Linked DNA regions of Sus scrofa. Each later gene encodes a partner of the first gene's protein in a complex. Links are inferred from orthologs where the notes say so. Each region holds a gene or a part of one and is shown on either strand. Other genes may lie near its edges.

Region 1 (3,749 bases):
GGTACAGCTGGAAGGATGGAGCGATAGTGTGGATCAACTCCATATCATTTTATGGGAGAGGAAGCCAATGAATGACATGTCCAGTGGATTATGATTTACTAACATGGTCGTAAATATTGGTTCAGAACTTGGCTTGGAGGCTTACACACCGCTGCAGAGGACGTCGGCTATGGTGTGGAGCATATTTGTGTGGGCGTGTTTTACTGGCTTTGTCATTTAAAAATATACTCTTTGATTCTTTGTCTCACACTTTCTCAGTTTATGAGGAAATCCCTCAAAATGTTCTCTGGTTGTGAAAAAGAATCTGAGAATGGATGGAAGCGGCGAGAAGGGAAGGAGATAGAAACGGAAGAAAGTTGACCTTCTGTCCGCCCCAGACTTTTCTGTCCCCCATTGTCCCCACCTGTGCTTTCGCCACGGCTCGATCCCCTCCCCAGCTCCATGTTTCCCAGGAAGCTGGACGCGGGTTTACAGGTCGAAAACCCTTGCGTGGCTGCCAGAGCTGGGCATGCTCAAACGCCCAGGAATGGCTTTTTTTGGTTTCCAACTTTGGCAGCTCTCCCACCCGCACCCCGAAGGGGCAGGTCCGCACACATCCCTGGGTGTGAGTAAACGGGAGGAAATTATCACACTCCCGCGGAAGAAGTGAGGTAGGGGAGCTAGCCTGACAGTTCAGGGTTCCGGGGCTCAGGGGCGCGCGCGGGAAGGAGGAGGGCCCTCCCGGGCTGCGCCGCTTCGGGGTCCGCGGCAGCGCGGGCGCGCGCGCCCGTCCGAGGGGGCGCAGTCCGAGGGCTCTGGCGGGAGCGCGCGCTCTGGGAGTGGTCGCGGGGTGGCGGGAGGGGCCGAGCAGGGGCGGGGCCGCGGCGGCGCGCGGACGCCGAGCCGCTCCGGGCTTCTAGAGGCAGCCGCGCAGCTACTGGCAGGAGGCCCCCAGTCTGTGTGCCCTGAGCCTCGAGACCCGGGACTTCGGGGGCGCGGAGGGAGGCGAGGAGCAGAGCCCGCTGAGGGGGAAGAAGCGCGCGGTGCTGCTTGCTCCTTTACAGACTGCGCTGTCTACACTCCATTTCGGAACTGGGTGGGGGTGGCGTGGCCGGCGACGGGAGGAATTCGAACGCCCGCACCCAGAAGGAAAGATTTCACCTGTGTTTCGAGGCAGCGCGCCGGACTTGAAGGGAGTGGCGGGCAGCTCTTGCTTCTGGCACAATGGGCTGTACGCTGAGCGCCGAGGACAAGGCGGCGGTGGAGCGGAGTAAGATGATCGACCGGAACCTCCGCGAGGATGGCGAAAAGGCGGCGCGGGAGGTCAAGCTGCTGCTGCTGGGTAAGGGCAGCCGGGCCGGGCTGGCGGCTGGGGGCACCCAGGGGGTCGGGCGGATGTGCTGGGCGCGGCGGCCGCTGCTGGCTTGGCGTTGGGAAGCCCGGAGGGGACGTGCCAAAACGGCCGAGGGCGCGTCTTGTAGCCCGCCGGAGGAGGGTTTCGAAGGGCGAGCTTGTGTGGTGTGGTGCGGAGGCGAGGCGAGGCGGGCGCCCCTTTCCCGGGTCTCTTTCCCCTCTGCTCCCTGGCCGGGGAGAACTCTCCCGCGGCGGCGCAGGAGCTTCACTTCGCTGACGTGCCTCGGTGCAGAACCTGCGAGGAGCCCCTTTTTCTTTTAAGTTAGCTCAGCTGTATACAGATGAAAGGGCATTGGCACCGGGAGAATAAAAGCACCCTCCGCCCCCCTCGAAAACCCTTCATTCAAGGTGTCGTGTCGCGGTTGTGGTTTTCCTGTGTCAGGAGTGCCACGTTTTGTGAAATCAGTGAACCTTTATGGGGCCTCCAAGGGACTGAAATGTGTCTTTCTGGTGAACTTCCTATGGCGACTCAGTAAGTGTTACAGGAGCAGTGATTATATTTACCTTGTGTTAAGGGAGTAGGCTACGCTGGATGCTGGATTTTTATTGCTGTGGGGACATGGAAATCACTGAAGTTAGGTAACAGTGGCTTCAGTAAGATACTCCAGCGCTGAAAACCACTGTGAAAGGTGCGAATGGGTCACACCAGACAACGGGATTCTCTCTCTGCTGGCCGCGGTTTTTGATGAATGAGATTTGCCAGGTACCCGCGAGGCTTTTATTTGTTCTTAGTGTTGTTCTCCTGGTGAAACGCTATGTGGAGGAGGTCGTTTCCAGTTGTTTGAAGGGAGGAAACGTAAAAAGAGTAAGCCAGGATTGTTTTTGAGATGTGCATTAGGAAAATATTCAGTTTAAGATTGGTTGATGCGTGAGTTAGGGCTTTCTTTTGTTTGCTTGTCCTCCCACCCCTACACCCCCAACAACACACACCCTGTAGGTAAAGTAGGTGAAAGATTTCTTTGTTTTCATTCCCAGCGATTGCTTTTATTTTTATAATAGTTATAATAGAGGAGAAATACTATTGCATAAACCTGTTTTCAGTAAGCTTCTGTTTCATTGGTTTAGTGACTGCAGGAAAATGGTGGGTTTTTTTCTCCATTACTAGTAGGCTTAGAAGCAGCAAACTTGGCATGACTAAAAGTAATAATGATCTGAGTCATTCTGCACGCAAACTGTGTAATAACTTTGCATTTTAAAGACTTGGTGGCTTTCTTCACCCCCGCCCCCCACAGCAGAAATTGTTTCAGTTAATAGTGTTTACTTAAGTTTTCACATTAGTAAGAAAATAATTGTCTTTTGAGGAAGTCACTGTATTTTCAGTGTATTGAGCACAGGAGTGACACCTTGGCATGGAAACAAGTAGGTGTTTCTCTTTAGAATCAAATGTACTTGAGAAGAAAATGGGGGAAAATATTTTGGGAAGTTTTTTCCTGCAGTTTCTGCACTCCTGCTCCGATATATTATTTCACTGTATTGTGTGACACTCAGTTTGAGCCAGCCATCCACCATGTTTAAAGCATCAAGAAACGAGTCCTCTAATGTTGTTTTATGCTTTAAATAGATATCTTGCAGAGAAAGATGGACTAGAAGAAAGGTTCAAGGAATTGGTTTTTGCTTCTAGTCAGAAGAGATCAGTATTTCTCAGCCTTAGCACTATTGGCATTTTGGGTGGAATCATACTTTGTTGTGCAGACGGTCTTGTGCATTGTAGGGTGTTTAGCAGAAATTTTGGCCTTCACCTTTTAGCAGCCCCCTCCACCCGTGACCCTAGAAAATGTCTCCATATATCTCAAAAACGTCCCATGGGGGCAAAATTTAATCTTAGCGGAGAGTCACTGTTCTAGACTAACAAATATAGCTGAATGTGTAATGTAGAACCAAAAGTTGCATCTGTATAGCCAACTATAGTGAGAGTTAAGAGAAAGAGGTAGCAGAGTCATGATTTTGAGAAGAAATTAGAGAACTTTTGTTTCTCCATACCAGTAGCATTAGAAAGCTTTCAACATGACTTTAAAATCTTTGGGTAACTGAATTCCTTCAGCTCCCTTTTCAAGTTTTAGTCTTTTGCTCTTGCCTACATCTTTTCTTTGTAGATATCCCATCACATCCTTGTCTGGTTCATGTGGAGGAACTCCTCCTCCTCCTCATGCGTCTTACTCCCTCCCCTTCTACTCTCTCTCACTCCCATTTTACTCTACCCTTTTGCCCAGTGTTCCAACACTCTTACTTCCTATGAACAGAATGCTGGCTTTTTTCATAAATCTTATTTCTTAGAATGTTCAAAAACTTTTTTCCACACTGATTTGACTTGAGTGCTGAAGAGTTGACCTTCTTTGGATGTTTCAAATTATATGTGT
Region 2 (2,263 bases), on another chromosome or scaffold:
ACCTGAGACCCCCAGCGTGCGGCCAGCGGGAGCTCTCTGCCAGGGTCAGGACTGGGCAGATGCCATGGGGGGAGAACAAGAGGCTGTGCCCGTGAGGTCGGGAAGGGAGGGCCCTGGAGGCTGGAAAGGGGGAGGAGGTGGCATCTGATCCACCCAAGTTCGTAACCCCCCTAAGTTGGGCTGGACTTGCCCCCTTTCTGAGTTGACTCTGGGCACCTGGGGGAGGGCCGGTGTCTGCCCCCCACCCCGCGGAGCCCAAGGGTTCCGTGCCCACCGGCACTGTCCTTATCAGGTCCTCCTCCCGGGCCCCAGCCCCCTGGCCCCGGCCTCGGTGCAGGAAGCTCCTTGGCCCTTCCCCCCAGCTCAGCTTCAGGCCCCACGCCCCTGGAGGCGGGGGGGGAGGTGGCGGGGGGAATCACAGCTGTCCTGGGGGTGGGGGCTGGGGCCGATACTCTCAAGCCTAGAGTGAGTCCTGCACAATGCCATGCCACGCTACCAAAGGGGTTCCCCCCAGGGGGGGGCACTGCCAGGCACGCATCTCTAGTTAGGACTAAACCTGTTAACCACTGCCCCCGCCTCTGCCCCCCACCACAGGTTCCCCTCCCCAGGTCCCTGACTGAGGTACGGGGGCTTGGCCACCCCCACGAAGTCCTCGGGAATCAGCACCAATAAAAAAATACACTTTACTGTGGACTCTGGGGTCTGCAGGGCAGCACAGCAGGTATGGGAGCTGGGCATGCAGGGCGCCCACTGGGTGTGTGGGATATGGTGAAGCAACCCCTCTGCTGGACCCCGGCCCCTGTCCCCTCCCCTGACAGCCCCAGGGGACTCTGACAGCAGATGGGGCGGGAGGGGCAGCCTTCCCGACGACCAGGCGGCCAGGCTCCAGCCGCTCTCAGAGCCTCCAGTCCGGCCCCGCACCCGGAGCTGGGGGCGGGGTGGGCAGAGACAGCTGGCACTGCTCGGCCGGAAGCAGCAGCACGAGGAAGGAGGGCGTGGGAGCCCACACCTGCCAGTCCAGCCCTGAGCTCCTCAGCAATTTTCTCTCTCTTGATTAAACATCCAAGGAACATCAAGTTCACGGACGCGTTTTCTCCTTCTCCGTCTTCCCTGAAACTCCCAGGATGGAGAAGCGAGACGTGCCAGAGGCTCCTTGGTGGGCATCTGGCACTTTGGGTCACAGAAAGTTGGCAGAAAGAGGGATGAAGGGGCCTGGCCCCGGACTTAAGCAGGAGACAGCAGCGAAGCTAGCGTCCGGGGCTCGTCTGGGACGAGGCGGGTGTGCGGGGGTGTGCACGTGCGGGGCCAGGGCACCAGCTCTGGAGGCTTGGAGCACACGCCAAACGCTTGCTCTGGGAAGATCACCAAGCAGTAACTGCGAAGGGTGGACACCACTGGCCATCGCACTGTCCGTGGGGGGTGGACAGAGTGCCTGGGACCCCTGGGTTGGCCCTCTGGGGCAGAGCAGGACGGGGGCAGCCACATCCTGGTTCGGGCAGCGAGGGCCCTTCCAGACGGCCCACCGGGCTGCCTCAACTGCCAGCGGAAGGGATGAGAGAGGCTGCCATGGCCTTGAGGGTGGGCCGGAGACAAGGCATGGCTCAGCCCTGGGGGCGGCCAGGGGGCGGGGGGCGAGGCCCGGCTGCTTGGGAAGCCAGGACCTGGAGGGGGCGGCAAGGGAGGGCCTGTCCCCCCACAGCCCAGGTGCCCAGGGAGGCCGGCTCACTTCCAGCAGTGCTCCAGGGAGCTGTGGGGCTGGAGCTTGAGCTTCTGGGGGCAGAGCAGCTTGGCGAAGGCTCGGCGGAAGCTGTAGTGGCACAGCGGGTAGAGGACGGGGTTGACGGCCGAGTTGGCCCACAGCAGCCAGAAGGACGTCTCGTACCAGTAGTCGGGGACGCAGCGGCCGTGGCAGGCCGCCCGGATGATCATCAGGAGTGTGTAGGGGGCCCAGCAGAGCCCGAAGATGCTCACGATGACCGCCAGCGACTTGGCCACCTTCTTGTCCCGCGAGAGCCGGAAGCGCTGGGTGACGCTCTGCGACACCATCTTCATGCGCTTCTCCAGGGACGCCGAGGACGCGGACGGCTTGGAGCCCCTCTTCAGCGAGCGCGGCCGCTCCGTGCCCCTCGAGGAGCTGCCGGAGCTGGAGGTGGGCGAGGCCGCGGCACCCCCTCCGCTGCCGCCGCCGAGGGCCGCCTCCCTGGCCTCGGTGCCCGGGGCCCCCTCGCCGACCCCGACCCCACACCTGTGCAGCGGCACAGCC
Region 3 (3,749 bases), on another chromosome or scaffold:
GTGCGTTCTGGGGGTGAGATTTTTCGGAGAGATAAATATATTCCTAATATCCAGGACTCATCTCTTCCATCCCACGGTTTCAGGGAGAATTGCTTTACATTCTAATTGAAATTCACTTTTTCTCTGGTAAAGTGGGACATGGGTAATTATCCACAGAAAATCCCCAGGTCTCAAATCATAATTTGAACTTTTTTCTCATCACGAAACTCCTTTCCAGAGCGGCTTCTGTTTCAGCAGTGAAGTAGCTAGGGGGTAAAAATGGCATGATCCGAAGGTTACGTGCAAGTTTGTGTCCAGGGGAAAGCAAGGGGCCTGGATGATCTCCAGGGTAAACCAGAAAGTGTCCTCCTCAGTGCTGAGCTTGGTACCCCATGGTCTGTCTGAGATGGAGATTTGCAATTTGATGTTGGAAGCTTCCGAATGGGAAACTTTTCATAAAAAGTAGTCACCCTCTTGCAAATCATTTTTCAATGGCAAAAAATCCCTTATTTGAAAACCTAATGCCATACAGAATATGGTGACATGGCATCCTGGAGAAAATGCTAGGTGGGGTTTCAGGACCCCTGAGTCCTAAGCTGGCCATCCACCAATGGCCCTGTGATGGATCGTTCTCATCTTGTCAAATACGTTTCACTCAGTGACGTCCAAGGCCCTTTCTGTTTGAACGTTCTATGAATCCCCAAGCATAAACTTGACATTGCTCCAACCTAGTCTGACACTTGAAATACTCCTACTCTGTCTAACGTGTAATGTGGTCCGTCTCAGGTTAGGTGGGAATTTTTGCCAATCTGTCCCCAAGTGTGCCTCGTCAGGGCAAAGCACACATTCACCTCCTCTGCTTCCCTCTGTCTCTTTCAAAACCAGTGCTCATTAATGACTGTTAACGCTAAGCAGGACTTGATGGATTTGGTCCATTTAGGTGATGTCCAAATGGAATTAATTGAGTAGCAGGGTTTTCTTTTGCCAGGGTCTCTGCCTGTTATCTGTCTTTCTTGAGGCTTTGAGGACATCAAGTATAGAAAGCTTGCAAGAGATCCCGCTAAACATTTGTAGTTAGGACTTGTTGTTGCAATAAAGATCTCTTCTCACATCTGTGGGGTGTTCAAATTCCAGGTCCTTAGTCCAGGCTCCTGCTTTACATGAGAACCAGACAAAGTCCCTGCCGGGGGAACTCCAGTGCCTTGCAGTCACATGCACAGTCGCACGTGCTTCTGCCAAGACCCTGCCTTCTTTAGCCCTGGCCTGGCAGGGGCCAAAGTTTTGTTTGTTTTGTTTTAAGCTACTGAACTTACATAATATAGGGTGGGGATTTTTTCTGTCTTCTTCTCAGCATCAGAGCACTACTTGATTAGAATTAACATACTATTGAATTAACAAATGGATGCATGTATAAATGATTGCATGTGTTTTTTCCATAGTGAAACCGTGAATAATTTTCATTAGCATCTCTTTCCGCCTCTCCTCGTAGGAACTCACTCAGTGAACTGCCCCCTCTGATGCATCTCCAGTCTCTCTACTCTCTGCTGCTTGCTTTCCACTGGCCACAAAAATGCCGATTTCCCTGCAATCCAGTACCTCTTTCCTGCACTTGCCCTCCTTCTCAAAGTGCCTACACAGCTTTTCCCTTTCCTGGCAAAAGTGCTCTCTTTCTGCTTCTACTTCCCTTCCTCCCACTGAATGCCCACCCCACGCTGCTTTTGGCTTTTGCCCCTGAGATACTTTCCAACTGGCCAAAGGTTGGCCCATGGATAAAACTGCCTACTGGACAACTCCACCTAGGTGTTCTGTGGGCATCTAAACCCCAAATGTCCAAAACTGATCCCTCGTCTTCTTTCCAAATCAGTCCCTCCTTCTCCTATGGTGTGAATCTCAGTGACCCGGCATCGCCAGGACCCTGGTGCCCCAGTCGGAATCCCAGCCATCACCCCTAATTCCTTCTTCTCTCTCTTACTCCCAAGTGTCGTCATTCTACTGTGTTAATTTTTTTTATCTTTTCGCTGATCTCTGGTCATTCTGGCATACCTGGCATCTGACAACCGTCATCTCGTCTTTGAATTACCACCAACAAGCTCCTGACTCTACTTGCAATCTTACCTCTCCCCAGCCGCTGCGATCTTTCTAAAACCAAACGACATCACTTGGCATATTATATAGTTTTATTTTTGTCTATTTTCCCACCCTCCGCTCCAATATACATTCCTTGGAAATAGGAGCTTTACTTTTCTCACGACTGTTATTGGCAGAACAATGCCAGGCACATTGTAGACCCTTAATCAATATTTGTAGGGAAAATAGTGAGTATCTGTCACTATCCTGCTGAAAACTTTTCTCTAGGTCCCTGTGGCCCTCAGAAGAATCATTGTGTCATCATTACTCATGAAACACACACACCATGTGTACCAAGCACTGTTGTGAGTATTTTTCATCTCTTTTTTATTTAGTCCTCATACCAGGCTTGCAAGGTAGCCAGGCCTGATTGGGCCTAAATTTGCAGGCCAGGGCAAGAGTCTGAATAGAAGTCCATATGCCCTATTTCTAAATATTTTAAAATCATAGATCAAGCTATTAAGCTCTTAAATAAAATATGTTCTATTCTCCTATCTTGATATACACTGAAAAGCCAGATTCAAATTTAGAATTCTCAGATTTATAGAGTGTCCCATGCCACTGGAATATGACGACTTACCAAGCTTGCCTCTGGCCCACAGTTCACCCCCTTTTCTCTCACCCTCTATCCTGCCATCACATGCCAGAGGGGCCTCATTTTAACACAGGACATGCCAGCCTTCCCATCCAAGTGTCATTCATCTCCTTGTCACACAGCTACTCCTTGGCAACATCTCAGACCTAGGGTCCTGCCTGGAAGACACAGTCAGTCATCAAAGGGCAAAAACAGCTCACGGGAGTGTGCTCATGGCCACCAGACATAGGATTCTGTGATCTTGGCAATGAACACGATCTAGAAAGGGGATGTGAGGCCTGGGGGACCCTGACCCCTTAAATCCATTTAATAGATGAGAAAACAGGGTCACCAAGAGATAAGGATATGAACTGAAAATTTCACCTATCACTTCCGCACACATCCCAGTGGCCCAAACTTTAGTCCCATGCTGTTCCGTGCTGCAAGACAGGCTGGGTCACTCTAGCCGAGTGCCCACATGCCCTGCTAAGACTCGGGAGGGACGGGAGAAAGGAGAGCATGGACACTGGCTGCTGGAGGGGGGCGGTTATCAGATTTATGCCAGTTTAACCTACAAGTTTAAAACAAAGCGTTATGATCAGGGGCGTAGGAGCACTGGCTCAGTGCCTAGAGCATTCTGGCTCTTCAATACCCTTAGAAGATTTTTTACCTGAAAAAAGAAAGAAAGAAAGAAAGAAAGAAAGAAAGAAAGAAAGAAAGAAAGAAAGAAAGAAAGAAAGAAAAGAAAAAAGAATTACTGGCTCTGAAATACAAAAAGAAAGCTTTGGGAGTTCCCGTTGTGGCTCAGCAGGTTAAGGACCCAGCATGGTGTCCGTGAGGTTACAGGTTCCATTCCTGGCCTTCCTCGGTGGGCTAAGGATCTGGTGCTGCCACGAGCTTTGTTATAGGTCGCAGGTGTGGCTCCAAGCGTGGCTGTGGCTCTGGCGCAGGTCAGCAGCTATGGTTCTGATTCAGACCCCTAGCCTGGGAACTTCCGTATGCCAAAGGTGCAGCCCTAAAAAGAAAAGAAAACTTTTTTTAATTTTATTTTTTTAATTGTTATTTTCCC

What was found.
Region 2: the proteins of GNAI1 (region 1) and HRH3 are in contact, whole or in part, in a cryo-EM structure (PDB 8YUU), measured with the Homo sapiens proteins. The link is inferred for Sus scrofa from reciprocal best matches to the Homo sapiens genes GNAI1 and HRH3. Residues at the interface, in NP_002060.4 of Homo sapiens: Ala31, Arg32, Glu33, Val34, Leu194, Thr219, Lys314, Asp315, Glu318, Ile319, Tyr320, Thr321, Thr340, Asp341, Ile343, Ile344, Asn347, Leu348, Lys349, Asp350, Cys351, Gly352, Leu353, Phe354; in NP_009163.2 of Homo sapiens: Asn69, Asp131, Arg132, Ser135, Val136, Ala139, Val140, Ser141, Tyr142, Arg143, Ala144, Gln146, Ile221, Ile225, Arg228, Arg232, Phe344, Thr345, Phe348, Arg349, Arg352, Asp353, Lys355, Val356, Ser359, Leu360, His416, His417.
Region 3: the proteins of GNAI1 (region 1) and GPR88 are in contact, whole or in part, in a cryo-EM structure (PDB 7EJX), measured with the Homo sapiens proteins. The link is inferred for Sus scrofa from reciprocal best matches to the Homo sapiens genes GNAI1 and GPR88. Residues at the interface, in NP_002060.4 of Homo sapiens: Arg24, Glu28, Ala31, Arg32, Tyr320, Asp337, Ala338, Thr340, Asp341, Ile344, Asn347, Leu348, Lys349, Asp350, Cys351, Gly352, Leu353, Phe354; in NP_071332.2 of Homo sapiens: Ser66, Arg138, Leu141, Ile142, Pro146, Ala147, Gln150, Gln154, Ile215, Arg218, Val219, Ser222, Val223, Arg225, Val226, Ser285, Val286, Tyr336, Arg339, Asn340.

What each region holds. Positions count from the first base shown.
Region 1 is NC_010451.4:100,269,375-100,273,123, reverse strand, and holds the start of GNAI1 (guanine nucleotide-binding protein G(i) subunit alpha-1), read left to right. Parts: upstream 1-849; 5' UTR 850-1,203; coding exon 1,204-1,321; intron 1,322-3,749. UniProt on the Homo sapiens protein: Guanine nucleotide-binding proteins (G proteins) function as transducers downstream of G protein-coupled receptors (GPCRs) in numerous signaling cascades.
Region 2 is NC_010459.5:61,622,217-61,624,479, forward strand, and holds the end of HRH3 (histamine H3 receptor), read right to left. Parts: coding exon 1,723-2,263; 3' UTR 649-1,722; downstream 1-648. UniProt on the Homo sapiens protein: The H3 subclass of histamine receptors could mediate the histamine signals in CNS and peripheral nervous system. Signals through the inhibition of adenylate cyclase and displays high constitutive activity (spontaneous activity in the absence of agonist).
Region 3 is NC_010446.5:117,620,966-117,624,714, forward strand, and holds the start of GPR88 (probable G-protein coupled receptor 88), read right to left. Parts: upstream 2,788-3,749; 5' UTR 1-2,787. UniProt on the Homo sapiens protein: Orphan G protein-coupled receptor implicated in a large repertoire of behavioral responses that engage motor activities, spatial learning, and emotional processing. May play a role in the regulation of cognitive and motor function.